Xenopus tropicalis: one gene and its partner. Each later gene encodes a partner of the first gene's protein in a complex. Links are inferred from orthologs where the notes say so. Each region holds a gene or a part of one and is shown on either strand. Other genes may lie near its edges.

Region 1 (5,888 bases):
TACATGGCAGAAAGCAGTAATAGGGTTAAAGCTACAACTTAGATGGTGCATGCATGTTCACGGGTTATGTGCAGGTCATAAGAGATACCTGTAACTCAACTGCAACTTCTGTTTGGGGTGTACAAGCATCAGAACAGAATAATAACTACAGGGCTCATTTATGAAGGATGTGCAATGTGAATGTGATTACAATTTGTCTTATTACCCAAACTGCAGTTTCCTACTTGGAACCCCCAGTGAAGCTGAAATTCTAACTAGCCTGCACCTCTACTCATGTGTTTTTTTTCCAATGCAGATAGAAATTATTATCCACAGTTGTGGCACCTATTTCTTACTGCATTGTGTGCGACTAAACATAAAGCTGGCCATACACGCACCTATATTATTCGTACAATATTCGGCACTTGTATGGTGGATCGACAAGATGACCGATATCGCACAATCTGCATTTAGGGCTGAATCGTTAGATAGGAGTAGAATCCCTATTGTTTCCATATCGGACAATTCAGCCCTGAACGTCAGTGGGGGGGTGGGAACGATCTTTCCTGGGATTAAGATCGTAATTGTAATGTTTATGGCCACCTTTACACAGCATTAGCATCCAGTTTACTGAAAGTCAGTTGAGTATCCCAATATACAAAGGGAAATTAGTAGCACAAGACAGACAATAATTCCAGGGTTCCTTAAATACAGTTGTACATGGGTCTATTACTCTGCATGCAATTTCTCAGTCCAAGTCATACTAGAACTAATTGCAGGATGTTTAATGCATGTATAGTAGCAGGAACCTTTTACACTTTGCAAAAAATGGTAATAAACCAATCACTTGTACCTGCTAGCCACTTTTGCTCTGTAAATGTTTTGAGGGCCAGAGAGAAGGCCTGCAAAAAGGCACTGCCTTCTCACATAATATGTAATAATAAAAGAGATTGTAAAGATCTTCTACAGTTCTTTTTTTCCCGTTGATCCTCCGTCAGTGTTTCGGCTGTATAACAACAAATAAATCCAAAATGATAACTCCAAGATTGTAATTTAGTGTTGTCATTCCCAGAGACAATTACCACACAGATTTAAAAAAAAAAAAAAAAAAAAATAAAATTATATATATATATATATATACACACACACACATATACATACACACACACAAAATACATATATGTAATACAATATCAATAAAATATATATATATATATATATATATATATATATATATGTGTGTGTGTGTGTGTGTGTGTGTGCCATATTTAAAAACTTAGCATATTATTATTATAAGTATATAAGTTAGTTTTCTGACCAATGTGGCAGGCAGCACATCATATCCAGGGGGGCCACAAGCAGAGACACAAAGAGAAAGAACACTGACCATAAAACTTACTAAATTCCCTCCTTTTCATGCAGACTATAAAATGCAATACTTTTTTTATGGCCACCATGCCTGCTTTTTTTTTTTTTTACTATTCTGCTGGACCAACATGTGATAATCAGACCCTGTAAGAAAATTGGCTTAAGTTATACACAAAGCTTTTCCAACTATTGGTCTGGGGGTAGGCATTTCTCCTATTAAAGGATTGGCTGAGGTCTGCTGGGAGATGAGCACATCCGCAGTGAAGGCTGATTGCGCAAATAATTTTTGTATGCATGCAACTGATAGTGAAACCTAAACATAAGGATATTTATAGGAACATCAATTTAATATCAACAAAATCATCATACACATACATATTTGCAATAGTAAAAATAATATACATGGCACTTACCTATTCCAAAAAAGATAGACTAATCAGACTATTATAAGCGTAATAAGTACAATGACCCTCAAAAGATTTTTTTTAATATTGGGACATTCTATGCAATTCTTCTGCTTTTTATATTCTGACTTTTCAATTGTTGATATTAAATTGATACTGAGGCCCTGGCTGCCTTTTCCGATATCACAAATGAACAACCATCTGGCCAGGACTCAGGTTCCCTAACTGGGACAATATTTTTTTGAATCCATAACCTTATTATAGGCTAAGAGAGAGTCCTGTTCTAATGACTGCAAAGTGGGACCTAAAAACTAAATTCTGAAAGCCTCTGGGCTAAGGATGCAGAGCAGCAGCAGCAGCAGATTTCCAACCTGGATGCAGGCACAATTTCACCTACAGCCTGCAGTTGTACAATAGCGACACAAGGGCCACCTCATTGTGCCCAAAGGGAGCCAGGTTCATTCTCCTTGTACAGTGACGCACGTTGATAAAAAGCAGAATGTTGGAGACAGCTCAGTACAGACAAACATTCTCTTTATTAAGCTACACACGAGTTTCCATTAGTTACGAGAGTCGCTGGCAGCACCAAACTGAGCGCTCGGCAATACAAAGAACACACTCCAGCTTCATTTCTCGCTCATTTATTGATTGATTTTTCATTTTTTTTCTTTAACATTTGTGACCGCTCTTCTTCAATTCGCAAGTGAAATGGTGAAGAAGTCTGAGTTCTAATCAAAGTAGAAATGGCAAAGGTTTGGTCATGAAAATTGTGGATTTAATGTAAACACTACATTCGATTAAATTAGTTTTTTTTGTTTTGTTTTTTTCTTTTTTTTTTCTTTTTTGATGTTTTTTGTGTTTTTTTTCTCAGCACAAACATCCCACATGAGAGGAAAACACCATTCACTATAAGATGGAAAGGATGGGGGGTGGGGCGGGAGAGAAGCAGCACAAAGCATTCACTTAGGAAAGTAAAACAAGATTGAAAGTAAAGAAGCCTATCAGTTTGGAAATACACAGAATTCAGAGCAAAAATTGAAGAGGGGAATTATTTCAGCAGCTGGAGGTCAGTGAGAGCTGTGCTTTTTCTATACAAATCCAAAGAGTGCATGGTACACAGTTCAGAGTAAGGGAATCCAATCAGAAATCAGATCTGTACATTAAATATCTTGGAAAATTCTTTTTTTTCTCCATTCAAATGATAATTTTATTCCACCTAGTCCAACAGAAATAACCCCAATCAAACCCCCCAAAAAACAGATTTATATAAACCCATTTCTTTGCTGGAGGCCATGTTGGCTTCTCTGGCAGTGATGGGGTTGGAAAGGATAAAGGAGATGCTTCTTTACAAGTTGGTGCAAGAAAATGGTAGTAAGAATAATAAGAAGAATAAGAATAAGGGAGGTGTCTTTAAGCTACAAGCACGTGGGAAAAAAAGAACAGTTTTGTTTCTTCTAAATGTACAGACTTAGCTAAACCAGATTTACAGCATCCTATGCAGCCACTAATCCAGTGATAACATTACACATCAACTTTAAGGAAGGCTGTGTTTTTACAAAGGCCAAAGGTCATGCTACCTGCAGATCATCAATTTGAGGGTCCGTAAAGTAGTGCGGAGTAGGAGGGGACAGCGGGGTATGAAACCCCCTAAAAACTGTAGACTGTGCCCCCTGCTCTGCAGTTTGGGTTGGCACTGATACCTTTATCATAAAACGGGGGCCCGCTACATTGTGTTGTTCAGACTAGCTGGGCCTCCCAGAATCCCTCTCAGACCCTCTTACAGCAACAGCACCCACAAAAGCTGAGCACATTGTCCTGCGAGTCTCACAAACACTTCTACCTGGTTAAGAAATTGGAGGGGAATTTTTTTTTTTTGTTTTAACCGAAGAGCTGAACAGAAGAGATAAACCTGAAGGTTCGCTTGGGTCCTGTTTGTGTGAAACTGATCGCAACACACATATCTTAAAAGATTAAAATATATTATATTCCCTTTATCAAATAAGTCCTACACTATCTTTCAGTCCTGGAAAGAACAGTCATGGGTTACATGAGTTGCAGAAGTTCCAGCACTGAAAGGGTTAGGCAGATTGGGACCTACAGAGAATCCTTAAAAATGAGGAAACTCGATTATTTTGGATAAGGGCTGTCAGGAATCTATTCTGTTGACAGCTCTTTGAGACAAACTAAAAAGATTGGTTATATATATATATATATTTATATATATATAAATGTTTATTTTTGTTTTGCCTTCTGTTTACCAAGTTGCATTTTTTTATCGCCAGAAGATAAATTGCTATACAGAGAAAATCAGTACAAGCCGCAGCCTCTGAGGTTGTTGGCAATGATGATGTCAGTGACGGCATCGAATACCACCTGGATATTATTCGTATCTGTGGCGCAAGTCATGTGACAATAAATCTCCTTATTGGGAGAGCGGTTCTTGCTTTCAAATTGTGCTTGGATATAAGCAGCAGCATCTTCATAGGTGTTAGGACCTAATGAACAGACAAAAAAGGCATAAAAAACAATGAGGACATGTGAGACAATAAATATGAAAAAAGCAAATCTAAAGGTAACTAAAACCCCACTAACAAAAGATCAAGTGCACCAAATGATTGGCTACTGTACCAGCCTTGAGGTAAAGCAGCACTAGAGAAGTGATCATTACAGCTGCTGGAGATGCACTTTGCACATCTTTTTCCAAATTTTCCATTTTCAAAATGATCTATATCAGAGGCCCTGCTGTTTTTTTGTACAGGAAACTCATTTTGCCTTTAAATATTCCCTGTCTGTGCACATGAATTTGCAATAAATATACTGGGGCACAACTGCAACCACAGTTACACAAAAATGTAATTGCTCAATGTTATGGCATTTATTAAAGGTATGTGTGTCCAAAACTGCATTTAGCACTGTCACACTGTTGCATATAGCACTGCTGCATCCATCCTGCCTCCTGTTGTGAATTTTGTGCCTACTAATGCTGGGAAACCCTAGAGCAGGCATGCCCAACCTTTTATAACCGTGAGCCACATTCAAATGGAAAAGGATTTGGAGAGCAACACATGCATGAAAAAGGGTTCTGGGTGTGCCTATTAACCAAATCCAGCAGCAAGACTGGGCAGCAGTGCTACCCATTAAACCAATGTGATGAGAAGAGGCAACATGGACACAATGACAGCCATATGGCAGTGCAGGAGCATGTTGTTTGGACACACAGAATTGCACCAATACACACGCACACACAAGCATTTTTTTTTCAAATGCATAAGTTTTGTTGCAGTGAAAAAGAATTGAACAACAAATTTACCAGAATGTTTAAAATACACAACAAATACAAAACAATCTCAATTCGATAACTCTGGAAATGTTGAAGCAAAAAAATGTGATTATGTTTTTTTGCCACGACTTTTTAAAACAAAAATGTATACTCTTTTTGGAGCCCATACAGTTTAATATATGTAGAAAAGTTGCATAAATACCATGTGAACTTCCAGAAAAAAGTTTTTTTTTTCTACACAAACATACCTTATTCCACAGACCAAAAGAAAACTATGATAATTTCACATCATCATTCACACAATCTAACCCAACCTCTACCATACCTTGTTCTATATGTTCTTTGAATTTCCTTTGTTTCCAGAGAATCAGTGCACCACCCGCTATGGAAAGCAGAGGGATACGGATGGGGCTGCATTACTGTCTATATAAACAGGTAACCTACCAATGGGTTCCTTTCCTGAAGTATCAGGTATGTTTGTGTAGAAAAAAAAAACCATTTATACAATGTTGTATTTAATTCTGGAAGTTCTGAAAGTGTCTATGTACTTTTTCTACATAAGCCCAGCTGAATGAGCTCATGTCAAAAATGGGGCCTTTTATACATAATATTATCTACTATATTATAAGGGTAAAACAGGTAATAGGGGTCATATACTATGTGCAAAGCAGCATCCAAAGCAGAATGTAAAGTGCAGAATATAGCCACAAGTCTTGGCCTGCACAGCGGCAATTCCTGTGGAAGTGCAGTGAGCGAAATGCACAATTACATGTCAGTGCTAGGATTGGCAATCAGAGCTTACTGTTCATCTGTTGATAGAGTTTTAGGGTTATGTAGGGAAGCCGTGTAACTACAGC
Region 2 (6,883 bases), on another chromosome or scaffold:
TGTTGTCAAGGTTACACATAGACTTTACAACAACCCAAGTGGGCAAGGAGGCATTTAGTAGATGCCACAGAGCCCAAACAGGGCAAGGTAGAAGCCCAACACTGAATAGACTGCACCAGCATGTTGTCATGGTAACACATAGGCTTTACAACAACCCAGGTGGACAAGGTGGCATTTTGTAGACCCCAACAGAGCCCAAACAGGGGTAGAACCCCAGCACCGAATAGACTGCACTAGCATGTTGTCAAGGTTACACATAGGCTTTACAACAACCAAGGTGGGCAAGGTGGCATTTAGTAGACCCCACAGAGCCCAAACAGGGCAAGGTAGAACCCCGGCACCGAATAGACTGCACCAGCATGTTGTCAAGGTAACACATAGGCTTTACAACAACCCAAGTAGGCAAGGAGGCATTTAGTAGATGCCACAGAGCCCAAACAGGGCAAGGTAGAACCTCAACACCGAATAGACTGCACCAGCATGTTGTCAAGGTAACACATAGGCTTTACAACAACCCAGGTGGACAAGGTGGCATTTAGTAGACCCCACAGAAGGTAGAACCCCCGCACCAGTATGCCATGGCAACACATGGGCTTCACAACACTACAGCTGGGCAAGGTGTCAAACTGGTACTTATATAGCCCCATTGGGGTTGAACAGATTGCACCCGATTGGCACCAGTGCTTTTATAAGCAAGAAGGGACTAAATAACTTTTCCACGTCAGTAATTCCGAAGAGCGAGCCGACCGGCCGCACAATCATTTCTGCAGCCTATTGGATAACGACGCGAGACTGGGACCAGATTAAACCCTATGGTTTTGCGTCAAACTGCACTGCGCTTGGGCTATTGGGATGCAACGTAGCGCCGATTCCTGAGTCGCAATGGGAGGGAATGGGAAAGATCCCTACGAAAAAATGTTCATTTGATGGAAACAAGAAGGAATTAATCAGCTAACGGGCTCAATTTGTCTAAGGTGACGGGGGGGGGGGCAAATGAATCTCTGATGGGTGGAAAGATCACTCTCTTATGTTCTTCAGAAGCCAAATTAAAGTGATACACTCCCCCCCTTTCCTATAAATCATTCATGGGGGAAACACAGCCGGAATATTCTTTTCAAGCTTCTAATTAGGAGATCACAAACCCCAGGCTTAATTGTCCCTATATGAATCCATAGGGCGGATTTGCCTTCCTAACTACCCCTGCAGCCGCGGAACTGGGTCGCCACAAACCCCATCTCTGCCAAAGTGCTCCGGGGGGGGGGTACAGATATGTCCCTTTGTCAGATCCGTTTGTCCTTATAAAGTCACTGTGGGGAAAGATTTCCCATAAGGAGGAGGGGGGAGAGGAATCTGGGGTGAAAAATGAAGAAGAAGGGGGGTAAAATGATGAATAAGAACAGAAAGGGAGAGTAATGGGGTAACATGGGGCAACTGGGGGGGGGGGTAAATAACAGAAACCCCAATACCTAGGATGGTAGAACCTTCATTCTAATCCACTCAAGACATTATAGAGAGAGAGAGTGAAAGAGATGGGATCCCCGGAGCCCGGATCAATAGGATGAAGAGGAGAGAAGCGAGGAGAAGCCTTCATGTTTCACGCCAGTGGCGAGGCAATACGTTACAATGATGTGTTAAACGCTCCTGGTTATTAGAAAGACTGTCGTTAGGCTGAGCTATGGGCTCCTGGGGCAAAACCAGAGCTGAGAGAGGGCTAAAACATGACTGATGGGCACGGGGGGTGAGAATGAGCCCCACTATGAGTGGTACCAAGGCACGACCCCTTCTGAAATGCCCTAATACACAAGGGTGGCACTTGGACATTAGCAGCCCTGCCGGAGCAACATGTTACAATGGTGTTTTATAGAACCTAAGCGGGGCAGGGTGGCACATTGGTAGGTAGTAGACCCCCCCAAACAGGGTAAGGTGGCACTATAGCTATGAATAGACCCCCCCCATACAGTAATGACACAGTAGGATTTAGCAGACCCCCACACAACCAAAGGCTGGGGTTAAGCAGACCCCACAAAACTGGAGCATGTAAAGAAGGCAAACTGGCATTATTGGGCAAAGCAACGTCTAGAAAAGCCCAGTGGCACACTGGCATTCATTAGACCCCACAGAGGCCAAGTAGGGCAAGGGGGTACCCTGGCACAGACTGTATCAGCATTGCAAGCTGGCACACTGGCATTAATTAGACCCCACAGAGGACAAGCAGGGCATGGTGGTACCCTGGCACAGACTGTATCAGCATTGCAAGCTGGCACACTGGCATTAATTAGACCCCACAGAGGACAAGCAGGGCATGGTGGTACCCTGGCACAGACTGTATCAGCATTGCAAGCTGGCACACTGGCATTAATTAGACCCCACAGAACCCAAGCATGGCATGGTGGTACCCTGGCACAGACAGTATCAGCATATATAGGTGGCACACTGGCATTAATGAGACCCCCTCAGAGCCCAAGCAGACAAGGGGGTACCCTGGCACAGACTGTATCAGCAGATATAGGTGGCACACTGGCATTAATGAGACCCCCACAGAGGCCAAGCAGGGCAAGGAGGTACCCTGGCACACACTGTATCAGCATAGCTAGGTGGCACACTGGCATTAATGAGACCCCACAGAGCCCAAACAGACAAGGGGGTACCCTGGCACAGACTGTATCAGCAGATATAGGTGGCACACTGGCATTAATGAGACCCCCACAGAGCCCAAGCAGGGCAAGGGGGTACCCTGGCACACAATGTATCAGCATAGCTAGGTGGCACACTGGCATTAATGAGACCCCCACAGAGCCCAAGCAGGGCAAGGGGGTACCCTGGCACACACTGTATCAGCATAGCTAGGTGGCACACTGGCATTAATGAGACCCCCACAGAGCCCAAGCAGGGCAAGGGGGTACCCTGGCACACACTGTATCAGCATAGCTAGGTGGCACACTGGCATTAATGAGACCCCCACAGAGCCCAAGCAGGGCAAGGGGGTACCCTGGCACAGACTGTATCAGCAGATCTAGGTGGCACACTGGCATTTAATGAACTGCACAAACCTCAGGTAGGATAAGGTGGCACCCTGGCATTTAGCAGAGCCCACACAGCCCCAGTGGGCAAGGGTGGCACCCTAAGCAGACTGCGCCAGCATGGGAGAGTGGCACCCTGACACCAGCAGATAAAACACTAACACAACCCAGTTGTTTGCCCAGGCTGCATGTAAATAACAGATTGGCACATAGATATATCTACTGACAGTACAGACAATAGGGCAGGGATGGTAGAGCAGCCTACCTGTGGCACAGTTGGAGCAAGTTGGCTCTCCGGCTGGCAGCTGGCACAGGCAATGCCCAGTCATGAAGCAGAGAAGCGGTACCAATCTCCCATGTCTCTCCCTAGGACAAGCAGTAGGTGGGTGCTGGGTGGCACTGAGGAACAGGCTGCTAGCAGCGGCGGGCACTGGGGGACATAGTCCTGGATGGATCCGGCTGGCACTGCCCAGAGACTGCGCTAAATGGGCACTGGGAGAGGGGGCGCCGCAGCCGCTAATTCCTCCATCTGCTTCTGTCACCTCTTGTTCAGGTGGAGCCGAGTGAGGGGAGGGGGCACCCCGGGGGTCTCCAGTCTCAGCCTCCGCTGCTGGGTGGGAGCGAATGATGGGAGTCCGTAGCGCAGCAATCGCCAAACAGACTGAGCGACTCAGCGCTGGGGGCTGGGAGCGACTCACTGATCATATGGAACTGGGGGCTGGCAGTCAGGGGCAGAGACTCGCATTGTACGGAACTGGGGGCTGGCAGTCAGGGGCAGAGACTCAGAGATACAGGGAATGGGCTGGCAGTCAGGGGCAGAGACTCTCACTCATCATATAGAGAATGGGCTAGCGGTACCGAGTCTCTCAGGGATACAGGGAATGGGTCGGGAGCAGAGAGACTCTCATGGATACAGGGAATGGGTCGGGAGCAGAGAGACTCTCATGGATACAGGGAATGGGTCGGGAGCAGAGAGACTCTCATGGATACAGGGAATGGGTCAGGAGCAGAGAGACTCTCATGGATACAGGGAATGGGTCGGGAGCAGAGAGACTCTCATGGATACAGGGAATGGGTCGGGAGCAGAGAGACTCTCATGGATACAGGGAATGGGTCGGGAGCAGAGAGACTCTCATGGATACAGGGAATGGGTCGGGAGCAGAGAGACTCTCAGGGATACAGGGAATGGGTCAGGAGCAGAGAGACTCTCATGGATACAGGAAATGGGTCGGGAGCAGAGAGACTCTCAGGGATACAGGGAATGGGTCGGGAGCAGAGAGACTCTCAGGGATACAGGGAATGGGTCGGGAGCAGAGAGACTCTCATGGATACAGGGAATGGGTCGGGAGCAGAGAGACTCTCATGGATACAGGGAATGGGTCGGGAGCAGAGAGACTCTCATGGATACAGGGAATGGGTCGGGAGCAGAGAGACTCTCATGGATACAGGGAATGGGTCGGGAGCAGAGAGACTCTCATGGATACAGGGAATGGGTCGGGAGCAGAGAGACTCTCATGGATACAGGGAATGGGTCGGGAGCAGAGAGACTCTCATGGATACAGGGAATGGGTCGGGAGCAGAGAGACTCTCATGGATACAGGGAATGGGTCGGGAGCAGAGAGACTCTCATGGATACAGGGAATGGGTCGGGAGCAGAGAGACTCTCAGGGATACAGGGAATGGGTCAGGAGCAGAGAGACTCTCATGGATACAGGGAATGGGTCGGGAGCAGAGAGACTCTCAGGGATACAGGGAATGGGTCGGGAGCAGAGAGACTCTCATGGATACAGGGAATGGGTCGGGAGCAGAGAGACTCTCATGGATACAGGGAATGGGTCGGGAGCAGAGAGACTCTCATGGATACAGGGAATGGGTCGGGAGCAGAGAGACTCTCAGGGATACAGGGAATGGGTCGGGAGCAGAGAGACTCTCAGGGATACAGGGAATGGGTCGGGAGCAGAGAGACTCTCATGGATACAGGGAATGGGTCGGGAGCAGAGAGACTCTCATGGATACAGGGAATGGGTCGGGAGCAGAGAGACTCTCATGGATACAGGGAATGGGTCGGGAGCAGAGAGACTCTCATGGATACAGGGAATGGGTCGGGAGCAGAGAGACTCTCAGGGATACAGGGAATGGGTCGGGAGCAGAGAGACTCTCATGGATACAGGGAATGGGTCGGGAGCAGAGAGACTCTCAGGGATACAGGGAATGGGTCGGGATCAGAGAGACTCTCATGGATACAGGGAATGGAGCAGAGAGACTCTCAGGGATACAGGGAATGGGTCGGGATCAGAGAGACTCTCATGGATACAGGGAATGGGTCGGGAGCAGAGAGACTCTCATGGATACAGGGAATGGGTCGGGAGCAGAGAGACTCTCATGGATACAGGGAATGGGTCGGGAGCAGAGAGACTCTCATGGATACAGGGAATGGGTCGGGAGCAGAGAGACTCTCATGGATACAGGGAATGGGTCGGGAGCAGAGAGACTCTCATGGATACAGGGAATGGGTCGGGAGCAGAGAGACTCTCAGGGATACAGGGAATGGGTCGGGATCAGAGAGACTCTCATGGATACAGGGAATGGAGCAGAGAGACTCTCAGGGATACAGGGAATGGGTCGGGAGCAGAGAGACTCTCATGGATACAGGGAATGGGTCGGGAGCAGAGAGACTCTCAGGGATACAGGGAATGGGTCGGGATCAGAGAGACTCTCATGGATACAGGGAATGGAGCAGAGAGACTCTCAGGGATACAGGGAATGGGTCGGGAGCAGAGAGACTCTCATGGATACAGGGAATGGGTCGGGAGCAGAGAGACTCTCAGGGATACAGGGAATGGGTCGGGAGCAGAGAGACTCTCATGCATACATAGCATCATTGTATGTGTGAGAGACCAGGTGTGCATGTTAGGAGGCTGTTCCTGCTGAATTGTGCTTAGTACAGGGGAATCCCTATGTGCCATAGTTTTATGGTATCTCTCTGTACAGGCTATGAGCAAACTTAGGGGGCTGTTCCTGCTGAATTGTGCTTCGTACAGGGAAATCCCTATGTGCCATAGTTTTATGGTATCTCTCTGTACAGGCTATGAGCAAACTTAGGGGGCTGTTCCTGCTGAATTGTGCTTAGTACAGGGGAATCCCTATGTGCCATAGTTTTATGGTATCTCTCTGTACAGGCTATGAGCAAACTTAGGGGGCTGTTCCTGCTGAATTGGGCTTAGTACAGGGGAATCCCTATGTGCCATAGTTTTATGGTATCTCTCTGTACAGGCTATGAGCAAACTTAGGGGGCTGTTCCTGCTGAATTGTGTTTAGTACAGGGGAATCCCTATGTGCCATAGTTTTATGGTATCTCTCTGTACAGGCTATGAGCAAACTTAGGGGGCTGTTCCTGCTGAATTGTGCTTAGTACAGGGGAATCCCTATGTGCCATAGTTTTATGGTATCTCTCTGTACAGACTATGAGAAAACTTAGGGGGCTGTTCCTGCTGAATTGGGCTTAGTACAGGGGAATCCCTATGTGCCATAGTTTTATGGTATCTCTCTGTACAGACTATGAGAAAACTTAGGGGGCTGTTCCTGCTGAATTGGGCTTAGTACAGGGGAATCCCTATGTGCCATAGTTTTATGGTATCTCTCTGTACAGGCTATGAGCAAACTTAGGGGGCTGTTCCTGCTGAATTGTGCTTAGTACAGGGGAATCCCTATGTGCCATAGTTTTATGGTATCTCTCTGTACAGGCTATGAGCAAACTTAGGGGGCTGTTCCTGCTGAATTGTGCTTAGTACAGGGGAATCCCTATGCTGTCTGATTATAGAAACCTTATAGAGAATACCGTATCCCCTAACACAATGCAGCGG

What was found.
Region 2: the proteins of gnao1 (region 1) and chrm2 are in contact, whole or in part, in a cryo-EM structure (PDB 7T8X), measured with the Homo sapiens proteins. The link is inferred for Xenopus tropicalis from reciprocal best matches to the Homo sapiens genes GNAO1 and CHRM2. Residues at the interface, in NP_066268.1 of Homo sapiens: Lys24, Ile28, Ala31, Lys32, Leu195, Tyr320, Asp337, Ala338, Thr340, Asp341, Ile343, Ala345, Asn347, Leu348, Gly350, Cys351, Gly352, Leu353, Tyr354; in NP_000730.1 of Homo sapiens: Asn58, Arg121, Cys124, Val125, Pro128, Leu129, Thr130, Pro132, Val133, Lys134, Thr136, Ile209, Ser213, Lys214, Ser215, Arg216, Ile217, Arg381, Lys384, Val385, Thr388, Ile389, Cys443.

The regions. Positions count from the first base shown.
Region 1 is NC_030680.2:51,834,281-51,840,168, forward strand, and holds the end of gnao1 (guanine nucleotide-binding protein G(o) subunit alpha), read right to left. Parts: intron 4,247-5,888; coding exon 4,059-4,246; 3' UTR 2,567-4,058; downstream 1-2,566. UniProt on the Homo sapiens protein: Guanine nucleotide-binding proteins (G proteins) function as transducers downstream of G protein-coupled receptors (GPCRs) in numerous signaling cascades.
Region 2 is NC_030679.2:6,248,638-6,255,520, forward strand, and holds the start of chrm2 (muscarinic acetylcholine receptor M2), read right to left. Parts: upstream 3,744-6,883; 5' UTR 3,286-3,743; intron 1-3,285. UniProt on the Homo sapiens protein: The muscarinic acetylcholine receptor mediates various cellular responses, including inhibition of adenylate cyclase, breakdown of phosphoinositides and modulation of potassium channels through the action of G proteins.